2 linked regions of the Astyanax mexicanus genome follow. The protein of the gene in region 1 purifies or fractionates together with the protein of each later gene. This does not show direct contact. Links are inferred from orthologs where the notes say so. Each region holds a gene or a part of one and is shown in the gene's direction. Other genes may lie near its edges.

The links.
Region 2: the proteins of slmapa (region 1) and stk3 purify together in Homo sapiens (affinity purification with western blotting; 3 studies listed by BioGRID and IntAct, with this or other methods). This does not show direct contact. The link is inferred for Astyanax mexicanus from reciprocal best matches to the Homo sapiens genes SLMAP and STK3.

Annotation. Positions count from the first base shown.
Region 1 is NC_064431.1:3,494,062-3,501,967, forward strand, and holds the start of slmapa (sarcolemma associated protein a), read left to right. Parts: upstream 1-4,903; 5' UTR 4,904-6,511; exon of another isoform or gene 6,512-6,596; 5' UTR 6,597-6,688; coding exon 6,689-6,886; intron 6,887-7,906. Other genes in the region: dennd6aa (DENN/MADD domain containing 6Aa), read right to left, coding at 262-304, 512-550, 1,884-2,117. UniProt on the Homo sapiens protein: Associates with the striatin-interacting phosphatase and kinase (STRIPAK) core complex, forming the extended (SIKE1:SLMAP)STRIPAK complex.
Region 2 is NC_064410.1:43,530,841-43,538,568, reverse strand, and holds the start of stk3 (serine/threonine-protein kinase 3), read left to right. Parts: upstream 1-4,651; 5' UTR 4,652-4,826; coding exon 4,827-4,849; intron 4,850-5,252; coding exon 5,253-5,333; intron 5,334-6,625; coding exon 6,626-6,754; intron 6,755-6,887; coding exon 6,888-7,002; intron 7,003-7,099; coding exon 7,100-7,264; intron 7,265-7,362; coding exon 7,363-7,530; intron 7,531-7,620; coding exon 7,621-7,728. Other genes in the region: nt5c1aa (5'-nucleotidase, cytosolic IAa), read right to left, coding at 10-153. UniProt on the Homo sapiens protein: Stress-activated, pro-apoptotic kinase which, following caspase-cleavage, enters the nucleus and induces chromatin condensation followed by internucleosomal DNA fragmentation.

The DNA of each region.
Region 1 (7,906 bases):
TATTCTCACCAATGTTTGACATTATTGGTTGCAAGGAACTCCCATGTAAACCCCTCAAAGACTCATTGGATGCAAACATCAGCAGTGACAATGGGTTTGCACTGTAGAAGCAATGTGGTAAAAAAGATTAGTATGACCCAGAACTGCAATGTATAGTCATTTCAGACTGATCCTGCAGTCAGTGGTGAGGTAGGAGCAAGTTTAATGGGGCAGAACTTCAACAAAACTGATGAACTCTCAGAGAAGAACTCTTTCGCTTACCTGAGTTGGAGTCTGGGAAGGACAAGTAGCAGATGCTGGTTTTCTAAAATAAGAAAGAAGTTGGAAACAAATTGTGTACATGTCAACCAAAAACATCTATAACTGTAAATATTTTTTCAGGATTTATACAGTTTCCAATATCTGAAAACATGTTAAACATACATAAACCATTTCTACCGATTCATTTTTGCAGTACAATTCCTACACCCTGACAGACCAAATGCATTAGATGAGAAGAAACAGTTCTTACCTCTTTCTCTGTGAGCTTTGAATGGTGAGGGTATATAACCTACAAAAGAACAGAATTAGAGCTCATTAAGACTCCAAAATAGTTACAGGTTATGCACTGCAAATCTTACTGTACGCTGTCAACTTGGGTCAAAATCTCTGATCTGGAGGGCTGAAGTCTCTCTGGCAGCCATTCATAAGCTTTGCTAGTCAGTGTGTTTAAGCAGAGAAATCACCAATATCTGAGGGACACTGGCCCTCTAGGACTGGAACTCTGAGAGTCCTGACCCTGTTGACTAATGGTGTCACTGTTTAACTGTCAAAACCAAACACAGGTAAACAGCAAGTTTAAAGACATCAGGATAGTCCATGGTTATGTAGCTTTGAACTGGTCATTTTAAATAGAAATGCTGGACGATATGGGCAAAATTAATATCACAATATACTTCTGCATATTCCGATATCGATATGTAAAAAGGTCACCACATGTATGAAATCACACACTGACAGAGTTAGGTGGTATAGTAAGAATATTATATCACAGCATTTGATAAATCAGACAAAAATTATTTTTATCTAAACAGCATCAAGAACAATCATGACAGCATGACAGCCACAAATAAAAAATAAAACTGTAATTTATATTACAGCAATTATTTAACGTTAATATAGCTAATATTAGTTAATTTTGATGTAATGAAAATATATAACCACAAAGGGAGGTAACATAAAACTTCCTCTAAATCTAACTTCTCTGTGTGGAAGTGTGTGTAGTTGTTTGTGTGTGTGTGTGTGTGGGTGTTTGTTTGGCTAACCTAGCTAGCCAGTTTAGGCTAACAGAAAGGCTAGCTACTGTTAAAGACTATAGATATTACCGTTAGCTTAGCCAGCAAGCTAGATTAGCTAACTACATTATTACATATTTAAAGACATTTAAAGTTTTCATGACTGCTAAATACTTACTTATTCATTAGATAGTAAACAACAACTAGTTTACTAGCTAATAAATATTGCTAAATATCTGTTAACATTCATTAATTAACAGACTATCTAGTTAGCTAAGCTAGCTTTAACTATTTAGCAGTGGTGGCAAATCTACATCCAGATATTAAAAATCCGTTCCCGGATTTTGTCTTAACTGCACGGCCACCTCTGCAACACAGGAGCTGCAGCAGAGCTATACAGACGGTTAGAACAAAAACATGGAGCACACTCGCTCTTTCTGGACCTGGATTTGCCATTTATAGCTATTTGAAGCCTAGTTATGGTTTCAGCTAGTTTCAGCTTGTCAGCTAACCATCCAGGCCACTCAAAATAAACCTATTTATCATTACCTATTCATTTTTTATATATTGTATTAATAAAATGACACATAATAAGATGAATATGATCACCTCCACCGCCTGTCCGAGCTCCAGATCAAACCCCACCACACAGATGCAGTGTAGCCAGGCGGAGAAGCGGTCCCACGGCAGCAGCAGCTGCTGCTCCGGCTCCGGCTCCGGCTCGTCCTCTCCAGGCCCGTCCGCTGGCATTTCCTCCGCGGGAGAAATCTTCAGCTCCCGGTCCTCGCCCTGCTCGGCTTCTTCCATCCGCTCCTCCACCTCCTCCGACCCTCGCAAGGCCATGACTGGAGCCCGGGGTGCCCGTTCGCTCGGCTCGGACTCACTTCGAAGGCTAAACTAACTTAGCCAGCTAGCTTAGCCCACTAACGCTGCGGCTCGTATTCCTGTATTCAGAACGGCGCTTACGCTACCTACGTACACTTACAAAAAAAAAAGCGGATAACGCAGCAACGTACGGTAGATAGCTCAGATCTGCAGATCACAAGGAATCGGGTTAATACTGTGGACATGACTTGTAGATCGCAGAACTGTTAAGTTTTAAATAAAATTATTTTATAATAATCTAATTGTACAGTATATTGTACAATTTATTGACCTTATAACAAAAATAATAAATTATTACAAACAAATAAAACATGGGAAAATAAAATAAATAACACACAAGGCTTTCTGTTTGTCAAAAATGCCATCATAACTTGGGTAATTTTTGGGTACTTTGGGTTATTAATCATTCTAAGACAGTTTTATGTTATATTATACTTTAGCCATTAAAAAAAATATATATATATATATATATATATATATATATATATATATATATATATATATATATATATAAAATATTTAATTTTACAGCAAAAAGATATGTTTTTTATTTTTAATTCAAAATATTAATATATATATATTTGTAGTGAAAGTTATAATCAGAGAGAGGACCAATAAAAATATGTTTGGTTTGACTCTATAACACATATTATTGGTTATTATGAACAAAGAAGAAAAAACTCTATAGAATCTGAAGGCTTCCATTTCTTCTTCACAATTGTTTGTTAACAAATCCACCACAGCTTTTTAGAAATGTGGGTTATTAACAATTATAATGCTTTTTATGATTTATTTGGTCGTATTCTTCAAGACTTGTTCTTTATGAATATAATACCAATCATAACAGCCACAATTAAAAATGAATAAAACAATCTCCACCCTCATTAATACATTATAGGTTATACGTTATAGAACAGTGTCTAATGTCTTCTCCAATAATTCTCTAAAAATAAAAATATATATATTTTTGGTGTGTTTTTAAACTTTAAAACTTTGTTTTGACCTGAAATATAACAAGCAATATAACCAGCTGCTCTTTATTTTGTGTAAAAAAAAAACATTGAAATAAAATTTAGATTAAAAATAAAACTCATAGCAAATATTTGATTTTTAGTTTTCCAATTTCCCAGATATGCTGATGCAAACACGGAATGGAATGGAATTTTATTGTTAGAAAATATTTCAGTCTTTTCTACATATAAACACGTACATGCTTTACAGTTTCAAAATTTAAGAAGCTGATTAATATCTGAACTTCTGTGCAATGACTCAAATGTAACACATACTTCATTTGCATAAATAATAAATCATGAACACACTTACTAATTTGTTCTAATTCACTTCCTCGCCAACGCACGCATGCATCTCAGAGACATTTACCCAGACAAACAAACAGAACAAACAGAAACTGGTCTCAGTCTGGACTGCATGCAGACGGAGCTAAACCCCTTATCGTTAGTTTATTGGGGAGTGGAGATGCACTGTCCTGAATATCACAACTGATTCATCCTATAAATCGTCTAAGACCCTCTGGACTAATAGGATTAGCTGTCCTAAGATTTTGGACTTCAGTATGCTCTGCTGGGTATGACAGATGTTCTGTCTAACCCATGACCCCCTTAATGAACTTGAAGCTAATGTTTTAGTGATAAAAACACTTTGTTTGGCCTGTTATAATTATCATAATTGTAATCTCATCACTTCTAGTTTGATGCTGCTCAGCAGAGGCATCTGTTAGCTGATGTATCAGAACTAGGTTGCTGTGTGATTATCCAAACTATAAAGAAAAATATATGGAATTAGTTTAGCCTTATCTGAGTAATATTCTAATCCATATTATGGCAATAACTTCTTAACTAAGTAAAGAAAAAATATATATGAAGGTCAGTCAATCATCCTAAAGTATCCTAAAGTACAGAGGCAAAGACTATCAAAAATGTTATGATGAAACTGGCTCTCATTAGGACCGCCCCAAGAGAGGATGAGCAAGAGTTACCTCTGTTGTACAGGATAAGTTCATCAGAGTTACCAGCCTCAGAAATTGCAAGTTAACCCCTTAAAATGCCAGGTGTATGTGATCCAAAACCCTTTTTCTGCAGTAAAATAACTTATTTACATTCTGAAAATGTGTGGGCTTTGAAATCAGTAACAGAAATCAATCCCAAATTCTGCATGTTTGAAAATAGACGCAAAAACTAGACAAACATAACGAAACAACAGGTTTGGAGGACTGTTTGATTTGTATTCAGAAAAATATTGATTTTTAAAAAGCAAGTCAGGAAAGAGCCAATTTTATGAATGTATTCATTATATTTTGACATTAGCAGATTCACTTACTTATTAATACAATCACAATTATGATTTTTAGTAATGTCCCTTATCAAACATATAACAGCCTAGAGCACCTAAAAAACAGATTTTTTTATTTCTTGGAGGAATATAAGGATCAGTTTTTTTCAGTCACTGTACTTTTCGTTCCTTTTCCAATTTCTATCTTTCTTTCTTTCTTTCTTTCTTACTACATTTATTTATATTCTGCATTTAAACGCTGCACACTGTAGTAAGGGCTAATACACACAGTGGGCGGAAAGAGAGTGAGTGACCTATCCAAGAACCTCATTTGCAATTCTAATAATTAGCATGCCATTGGTTAACTTGGTCACCCGATCTATTTGGTGATTGGACAATTATTTCGCATCAGCGCTGGTGTTCCCTCCCTCTCTCTCTCCTCTTCGCGAGCCCCGCCGGTTTGTGTATTCCACTCCAGTATGGCGGCGGCGAGTTGCGGAGGAGGATAACCGGAGATAAGTTAGTCTGAATAGCCGCTGACGGACTCGCGGACCGGCTGGAGCACTTTACACACCTTGCTTAGAGTCTCCGGGGCGCGGAGCCTCTAACGGACCCGGAGGCCGGCCTGCGCGTGGCGGGGAAAGGACCAGAAACTGCTGTTCCGTGTCTTTTAGCTGGCTGGCTGGCTAGCTAGCTTAGCATCTTGGGCTAGGCTAGGCTGGGCTAGCCGCGAAGCTAGTGAGCTACTGCTGCTAAGCTAAGCTAACAAGCGGAGTAGGGGGGATTTTGTATCGCAAAGTTTATGAGTTAAGGAATTTGTTGTGCATTTTAGAGCTTAGACTAGTCGACAGCTGGGATTATAAGAGTGTTTTTCCACAAATTAAAGCTAACTAGTTAGCTTTATTAGCCTCTACCTCACATATTTTGCTCCTCTTGTCTAGCTAACTGGCTTTTTGGAAATCTCGTTAGCTAGCTAGGTTAGCTATTTCTTGCTAGCCTGCTGCCCAAGTTTAAACCATAACTACGGAGACAGGTAGCGTTAATAAGTTAACTAACAGTTTGTGAACATGGAGACCAAACAGTTTATTCTGTATGTGTGAATGAGCAGCCCGCAAATAAATCAATTTAATCGGATTAAATATCCTATTTTGAAGTCTTAAGCGATTAAGACTAAATTTCAAAGATGTTTAAACATATTTGTGCCTGAATTGTGTCTAAATAGCTAAGCAAGTGGTGGGTGAGAGCTTGACATTTACAGTTAAGTTAGTTAACTATTGAGAGTAAATTGTTTTTTGAATTTAACGTTGGCTAACTGAGATAACTAAATACTCGATACAAGTTACCCAAGTGTGTAAGACACAAGTTAAACTAACTTAACTAGTTCTAACAGAAAATATAGTTAGTGAGTTGGGGACATAAACATTAGCTAGCTAAATTTCAAAGTGGGCAGTGGTTAACTAACTTGAGCTATTCCAGTTTAGAGAACTTGAGTTGACCTCTTAACTTAGTTAGCTGCTTGTTATTTAAATGCACTTGAATTGAACGAATTCCTCTATTTCATTTATTGAAGCACCAACAAAGACGACGGATTATTTTGATAGATAGCTAAATAGATAGTAACTTACACCTAGGTTGGCTAGAAAGCTTGCGAAGCTGTAGGTTTAGTAGCTAAGCTAGTGTAGGTTTACAAACCTCAACACAACAGGTTTCTTGCTACTAAGTTGACTACCATAACTAGCCAGCAAGCTAGCAAAAGATACAAGCCAGATTTAACGTTCAAGGCTACATTTAAGGCTGAATCTGTGTTTTTGTGATCCTATGGTTAGCCACTTAGCTAGCAAGGTGGTGGAAGCTCATATTGTGAGAATCTGAAGGTAATCGTGGCCTGTTGACGTTTAAACCCAAAGCAATGCATTTTTATGGCCGTGTGGAGAAGGTGCAGTCCTAGCTATAGCTCCATCGCCTTGGGTTCTGTTTGACATCATGGTGGATTTGCGAGAAGAAGGGGAGCAGGGGGGCTTGGCTGGCTCTTCCTTTGGACATTAGCGAGCTATGTAAGCGAGGTTAGTTAGTCGATTTGGAAATATGTGCATGTGCATACGTTTGCGTTACACGAGCCAAACACGATACCGACTGTTTCCCTAAAAGATAGGAAAAGTGGAAGGATTGCCATTCTGGATCAAGAAGCCCTGCCTTTCGCCTCTGGTTGGAGTAGCACTCCCAAGCCGTCGTCTTCATCCATGCCTTCAGCGCTGGCCGTCTTCACCTGCCGCCCGAACTCGCACCCGTTTCAGGAGCGTCATGTCTACCTGGACGAGCCCGTCAAGATCGGGCGGTCGGTGGCCCGGTGTCGGCCAGCCCAGAACAACGCCACTTTCGACTGCAAGGTGTTGTCCAGGAATCACGCTCTCGTCTGGTTCGACCACAAGACAGGCAAGGTGAGTCGTGTGTGAGTGTGAGAGAGTGCTTTAGGCATGCACAAACAGGTCCAGCTGGATCATGTGTATGAAATAGCAAGCTTGCTGTGATGTTTTTGTCCCAAATGAGACCCGTTTTGATTTAGTTAACTAACTAGCAGGTTGCTTTTTCGTGACTGCCTGCTGTGGTTTTGTGATTTTCTTTACGTTTTACTATACTGACTTGTTTGAACTGTAGCTAAGTATACTACGTTTCCAAAAGCACTACCTTACCTATCCAAATACTTGAACTCAGGTGTTCCAATCACTTCATGGCCTTGCACATTTGTGCAAGCATGGTTGGCTCTTAGGATCTCAGTGAATTCCAGTGTGATACCCTGATAGGATGCCACCTGTAAAACAAAGTCCACTTGGACAATGTCCTCACTACTAAATATTCCACCGTCTACTGTCAGTGATGTGTTTGGGGAAGACAGCAACTCAGTCACAAAGTGCTAGGCCACCTAGTGCAAGTGGATGCTGATAGCATAGTGCATTTAGTGCATGTCTAGTTTCTGTACAGTCAAGTGCTCCCGGCCTTCAAATTTTACTGCCTTCTTATTAGCTTAAAGACGGTAGTGTGTAGAGAGGGTCATGCAATGGGTTTCCATGGCTGAGCAGCTGCATCCACGGCATACATTACCAAGCTACATCACCAAGCACAGTGCAAAGCATGGGATGCAGTGATGTAAAGCATGCCACCTCTGTACTGGACTGACAGCTGCCAGGAGGACCTGTCTCCGTGCATTGTGCCAAGTGTCAAGTTTAGTGGAGGGAGGCTTATGATGTGGGACTTCCTTAACTTCCTTACTCTTAATGCTTTAGCATACCAACAGGGTTGGAACTAATTCTTTCTCTCAACTTTATGGGAACAGTGTGGGGATGCCCCATTTCTGTTCCATAAATATTTGGATGGACAGTTTGGTGTGCAAATAACTTGACTGGCCTGCAGAGAAACCTGACCTCAACCTGATAGAACACCTTTTGGATGGGAAGACGCGA
Region 2 (7,728 bases), on another chromosome or scaffold:
AGAACTTACTGATTTGGGCTTTTTGGGACCCACACTGTCACAGAAGCCCTCTTTTTCATCCCAGGACACTTTGCTGTCTCCATTAGAAGCTGGCGGAGGGCTAAGGGCCATGGGGTCCTGGCCCTTCATGACCTGCACGGGGTCAAGACTCATTCTTCTGGACTCCACTCATTAACTGCTGTTCTGAGGGTTCCTCACTCACACTCAAACTCTGCTCACAAACATACACACTCACTTCTGCACATCCACACACATACAGACAGTTGCCCTCTATATGACCCCCATGTTGTAAAGGTCTGTTAATGCTGCTGATGTTCTTTTAGGTCTCTGCTCCTGGGTTGTGTAGGGTTTATTGGAGGTGCAGGATTTGCTGCTGCCGCTGCTGCTGCTGCTGTTGGTGGTGCTGCTGCTCTGGTTGCTCTGGCTGGGGAATTATGAGCCGTGTAATGTTGTGTGTCCTCTCGTCTCTGACGCGGTGCCCGCAATCTGCTTCTTGTGCTCTGGTTTGATATCCGCCCCCTCCCGCTTCTCCCTCCCTCTCACTCTCTGATATACACAGACACACGTCCACCCCTCTCCTCCCAGCTATACCCCTCTATTTCAGGATACCAAATGCTGTGTATGTGTTTCCAGCTACTCAGGCAACAGTAATACGACCAATATAATGAAGATATTTAAACCTGATCTGAACTGTTGCAATATGGGCAATATGTCAAGACATAGTCCAAACCTTTCAATTAAAGCACAAAAGGGCTTTTGTCGGGGAGAAGATTCATGCACTTGTTTAGTGGCCTGAAAACTCTCCTCCTCCTTCTCCTCCTCCTACTACCACTACTGATAGCTCTGATAGTTGATGAATGGTTGTTGTTGTTGTTATTGTTTTTTCCTCTTTGACAAAAATGATGACAAACAATGCAAACAAATATCAGAAGCAGGATTAAAATATGAAAAATATGAAAAAAAAACCCACAATAAAACTAAATTTGTTTTTCAGCTAATGTAGTTTCTTTGCAAAAGGCCTCTAGTTCTGAGAAATCTGAGAAGCATGTTTGTTTAAGCTTGTTTAGGGTCTATTACTAGATTGTGTAAGTGTTTTGTCTCTTTAGGCAGATTTTGCATTAGTATCCAAATTAATTTTCTCAGTGCTACTGAAACACAACCCAAGGCTTGCTAGATCCACCATCACGCTTTACAGTTGACAATGTCTTCTTAGTACAAAAATCCAGTTCCTTTTAAACACATAATTTCTGTTTATTGCTGGACTTACAAATCTCATTTTGACTTCCACAGTTCCCCTGAACTGCAATTATTTAATGACATTCTTCACTGCATAAACCACAAGCTGAAACCCCTTGGCTATCTTCTAATAGCCTTTCCCTGTCCTGTGGGTTTCAATCACATTTAGATCTTAAGGCAGTGGCTTGTAGGTCCTGGTTGTTAGCATGGGGTTTGAAGAGGTTTACAGAAAATATATGTAAAATTTGAGCATTTACAACACTTATTATCTCAGATGTGGGACTAATGATTATTATCTTATGTTATCTAATCCAAACTTCTGCACAGAAGTTACAATAAATATGCATTAAAATGAACTAAAACGTCATGTTAAATAATTCATTTGGTGTTATTTGGTAAACATGTTTTGCATACAGCTGTGTGTGTGTGTGTGTGTGTGTGTGTAGGGCTGTTCTGATTCTGCCTTGACTGTGATCATGGGCCCTGACTGACAGGGCAATTTGCTGTGATGTGTGATGTATGTATGCTGTGCTGACAGTGCAATTGACGCTGTCAGAACCCACTGTGAGAGGCAGGAATACAGGCACTTTATTTCTGAATCAGTCAACAACCAATTACAATTAATGTCAACAATTAATGTCATCTGTAATGTCACTGTAACAGTAACGGCCTTGGGTTGTTTAGTGTAACATACTGTGTTTATACATGATGACTAATGAGTGACATAAAAAAGAATAAAATAACACTGAATTCAAATAATACTGGGATGTATTGTTTACAGCATGTTTTTACAAAACTTTAACATGAGTTGCCTTTAAAATTGTACTATAGTAGTTTCAGACTTTGGAAATCTGTATGTACCTTTCTAGTCCACCAGAGAGCAGATGTTATGTTCTTATTTATGGTTTTTACTATTTTACTAGTTTATTATTTAATTTTCACACTGATGTAATAATTTTCACAGGATGATGCATAAAGGTTTAAAGAGTTATAATGAACAATATTTCTTAAAATATTCTTACACTCAAATAGGATTACCATAAATGTGGTGCAGAGGAGAAATTCAAAATCATAAAAGCTTATAAAATAGCTTATAAAAACAAATAAAACATGTTTAAAGGAATAATTCTAGGTTGAACTTGTAAATATGATGCTCTAAGGATACTTTTAATTTTATCTGATGTATTTTATCATTTAAAAGATCATGTAACTAAAATAAAAGGTACATTAAAGACCAATATAGCAAACTGACATTGAATTAATTTGTGTTAAACAACTTACATTAAATATGTATATTTGTATATATGTGTATGTTTGGATTTTATTGTTATAGCTTGTACTTTGTACTTTGTAGAAAATAATTATTTTAAACTTCTAATTTAGGTTAGAATTATTAGTATTATTCATATTAATCTTATTATGTTCACCTAATAGCATTGGGAGTGTAGAAGAGATCAGCCCAACCATTTAAAACCTTCCTTAAATTAACATTGATGACAGAATAATTTTCCATCATCAACCTTATCAGATGTTCTTTATTATTATTATTATTATTATTATTATTATTATTATTATTATTATTATTATTTCGTTTTCTGTATATATAGACAGTGTCTCCTCATTTGAACTTCCAATAGAGTGGAGTGAATGTGATATCCATGCCTTGAACAGACACATATAAATAACTTAAGTACATAGCTAAATAAATAAACAGGCCGCTTCCTTCCTATAGACCTGCATATATACAGAGAGAGAGAGAGAGAGAGAGAGAGAGAGAGAGAGAGAGAGAGAGCGTGCTACTAAAGTGTCTCTGTATCACTTCTGCTTTGAGGTTGATATTTATTACTGAGCAGTTATATAAGATTTTACTGAAATGTAGTGCATTTATATTATATTGTTATTAATTATATTTAACTGAAAAATTAACCTGTTTATACTAACCTACAAGCACACATGTACACCAAAATCCTAGCTATTAAAAAATTGCTTTTATATAGTATTGTGGCGTGGAAGAGGAAGGAAGACTTGTGAGACTCATGCTGAATGCTCAACAGCTCCTTTATTGAACAGGCTTGCCACTCACTTACAGCCTTTAACAAGACTAGGAGAGCTAAAACCATTAACCCACAGACCTAAAATAGCCCAAAGGCCACCAACCCAGCTGTGTGTCTCCCAGATGGCAGATCCAGAGTGGTGCCCACCCTCTCTGCATAACCCCTCCGAAGGGAGATGCCCCACCCCTGTCATCCTCGCACCATGCCTACAGGCAGCCACACACACAACCCAGAGCCGCCACAGTATTTTAATAAATTTCCTTTATAAATGTTGTGAACTGCTTTGAAATGATACTGCACGTTTTTTTTTTCTCTCTTTCTGTGTTTTAAATGCAGGTTACATTGTAAAGGAGCCACAGAATCCATTGTAAAGGTTTTATTGTGGTTTTTCTTGCTTTGTTTGGAAAATCCCCTCAAAGTCCAATATATATTTTATTTTTGATGACCCTTCATTTGACCATAATAAAACCAATTATAGAAAATTTAATTATAATTTGTGGGCATTTTTTTATACACAAAACTAAATTTGCTAAAAAGATACCCTTATTCCAAACTTTTGTTTATTGAGATTTATATAATTATATACATTTACTGACTAATTTTGAAAAATTAAAAATTAAAAATGTCACAAATCCATTGATATTTTAAAGTTTTTCAATTTTATTTGATTCCCAATATTCTTTATTCTATTTGTTTTGTTTGTTTAGGTTTGTTAAAAAAAAATTTATGTAATTGTGATGTTGATTATGCTGTGTATTTGACATTGTGTCTATTTTAGGCTGTTGGATTGTATTGTATACAAAAATAAATTTAAAAAGAAAGGTGCAGGTTATATACAGCTCTGGAAAAAATAAAACACCATTTAAAATCAAGAGTTTCTTTGATTTTGCCTAATTAAAAACCTCTGTGATAATCAAGAGGAAGATGGATGATTACAAGTCATCAAACCAAACTGAACTGCTTACATTTTTGCACCAGGAGTGGCATAACGTTATTGAAAAGCAGTGTGTAAGACTGGTGGAGGAGAACATGCCAAAATGCATGAAGATATGATTAAAAAACAGGGTTATTCCACCAAATATTGATTTCTGAACTCTTAAAACTTTATGAATATGAACTTGTTTTCTTTGCATTATAGGAGGTCTGAAAGTTCTGGATCTTTTTTGTTATTTCAGTCATTTCTTATTCATTCAAATACATGTTTTAAATGGCAAAATTTTTATTTGGATTTTGGGAGAAATGTTGTATGTTATTTAAAGAATAAAACAACAACGTTCATTTTACTCAAACATAAATCTATTAAAAGGAAAATGTGTGTTTTAAGACTTTTATTTTGAAGGGTGCCTGAGTGTCAGTTGTCTGCGGCTTCATTAGGTTTTGAGTAAACGGGGAGGAAGAGCGGAGCCAAGTGTTTTTCCAGATACAGAAGAATTAGCGACAAGTTCCCCGGTCATGAGTTTTCCCTGTGTTCTTTAGGATTCTGAGTTTATAAGACAGAACGCCCTAGCTCTTTATTTACTCTTTATTTTATGCGCAATGGAGCAGCCGGTACCTAAAAAGTGAGTATCGCCCAGTTTGTGAACACGGCTGTTTACAGGCCTGATATCCCGCCGGACTCCCATATCACCCAGATTTCCTGTCTCAGATCTTCTCACTGCTCTGAATGTGAAGTTTACAGATCCATAGATGTCTAGATTCTAGTTTACTCCGGGTTTATATACTCAGATTACCCGTTTCCTTCAGCTGTTTCTGTTTCTTATATTGCTAAATTAGCTTAGCTAGCCTAGCCTGAGCTAGCCAGTGTTTACAGTAGCAACTGAAAGCGTCAGCAGGTCAGAGGGAGCCTGTCCCTATAACCCAACTACGACAAAAAACGTGGCAGTAGTTCACCCAGCTCTCCAAGCTAGTTTACTCTACCTGGATGTGTTCAGTTATTAAACCTATTATTATGTGTTCTGACAGTAAACTGAAGAAACTCAGTGAGGACAGTTTAACCAAGCAGCCCGAGGAGGTCTTCGATGTGCTCGAGAAACTTGGAGAAGGGTAAGTTAATGCCTATTACTTCACTTAATTAATATAATGGATTCGCTTTTCCTCGCTAACTTGACTAGTTAATCCATCAGTCAGGACAGGATTGTGTCTGCAGTTTTGCACTGTATGAATGAGACAGGAAAAATACATTTCACTGACTCAAACCCAGAAGTAGTTGTTCAGATTAAATACAACTTTTATTGGCCTGGCTAAGGCGTTTTCCACTCACTGGGATTACTTTTTTTCCGTGTATATGCCACTTTCTCAGGAAGAACTTATTATATCCCTTATATTCTATTTAAATGTTTTTAAATATTTCTGTATATCCCTATACATATTTATATGTATACCCCTGAATTTACACTTTTGGTTATACAGGTTGTGTTTATACTGGTACTGCCATTCCCTCTTAATCCCCCCATCACTATTGTACTATTGTTTTGTGCCTTTGGGAAAGAGAGTAAAGTAATTTCAATCCATGTTTCAATTTCAATGTCCTGTACATATGCAGTATTGACAGTAAAACTACTTAACCTGACTTGATTTACATTTAAAAAGGAGTAGCATAAATGTGGTGCAGATGGTAAATATAAAATAATAAATAGATAATAAATACAAACAAATAAATAATACTAGATTAAATTTGTGACTACAATGCTTTCAGTATACAGTTCATTTTAACTGTTGTATTGTATTTTACATTGATGAATAAAATGAAATGTGCAATGAAGACCAAGATAGCAAACAGACAGTGAATCACCATTCAACATCCATTGAAACAATGTTGACCTCCAACATCAGAATTTGTGTGCACATTGACTTTACAATAATTAATCATTGATTCAACATGATTCAATTATGGTCAAACGTGTATATCTTGTTTGTGTTCTATACTTAGACATTTAAAATATAATTATTAATATTATTTATGTTATTAATTATTATTAATTATTATTAATATGGCATCACGTGATGCTGTTGTTATTGTCATGGTTACATTTACACTAAGTGATAATGTAAACATGCTCGTGATGTTACATGTACATGAACCATGCATATAAATGGAGAGTTTACTCAGAAAGTGTACAGATAAACACCTCTGATTCTCTGTTAGGTGTAACCAACCTTTTAATCCAGTTGCACATAGGCCAGCTTTGAACACCAAATATCTAATACATTTGTAATAAAGGGAAGTCTGTGTTTGATTAGATAGTTTGACCTGTGTATTTTGTTATCAGGTAGATAGATGTCTTTGATGAATTTTAAATTAATTTGCTTGTTTAATCTGCTACTTGTCTGTGTAGGTCCTATGGCAGTGTATTTAAAGCCATTCACAAAGAATCAGGCCAGGTAGTGGCCATTAAGCAGGTTCCTGTGGAGTCTGACCTGCAGGAAATCATTAAGGAGATTTCTATCATGCAGCAATGTGACAGGTAAAAGTTCACATCCCTCTACTACACAGAGTATATTACATAGGTAGTTCTATGGATACAGATATAATTTTTTTTTAGAAATGTATAGCATTACTTTTAAGAAATTCAAATAAGCTTTTCCCCCTTTGTCTAGTCCCTATGTGGTGAAGTACTATGGCAGTTATTTCAAGAATACAGACTTGTGGATTGTTATGGAGTACTGCGGTGCTGGCTCTGTGTCTGATATCATCAGATTACGTAATAAAACAGTAAGTACATTTATCACATGGTTATTGGAAAGAAGGGAAGTTGCTTTGATTTTGGTCTCAGTGTAAACTTAACAATCCCTTTTCCCCTTTTTTGTAGCTCACAGAGGATGAGATCGCTACCATCCTCAAATCCACCTTGAAGGGCCTTGAGTATTTGCACTTTATGAGGAAAATTCACAGGGACATCAAAGCTGGGAACATTCTCCTTAACACTGAGGGGCATGCTAAACTTGCTGATTTTGGAGTGGCTGGGCAGCTTACTGTAAGTGTTGAGGGCTTTTTTTTTGGGAAGGGACATTCATTTGCAGTGCTGATACACAAGTATGCTCATTTTGAGCTATGTTTCCTTTTCTATCAAAGGATACAATGGCAAAGAGGAACACTGTAATTGGCACTCCTTTCTGGATGGCTCCTGAGGTGATTCAGGAGATCGGTTACAATTGTGTGGCAGATATCTGGTCCCTTGGCATCACCTCCATAGAAATGGCAGAGGGCAAGCCTCCCTATGCAGATATTCATCCAATGAGAGTGAGTTTTATGTACGCATTTTAAAGTTTATGTTGAATAGTGAAAAGAATGCTTCTTTTATACTTTTCTAACCCCATTCCTCTTTATTAGGCTATTTTCATGATTCCAACAAATCCCCCACCAACCTTCAGGAAGCCAGAGCTTTGGAGTGATGATTTCACAGATTTTGTAAAGAAATGTCTTGTAAAAAATCCTGAA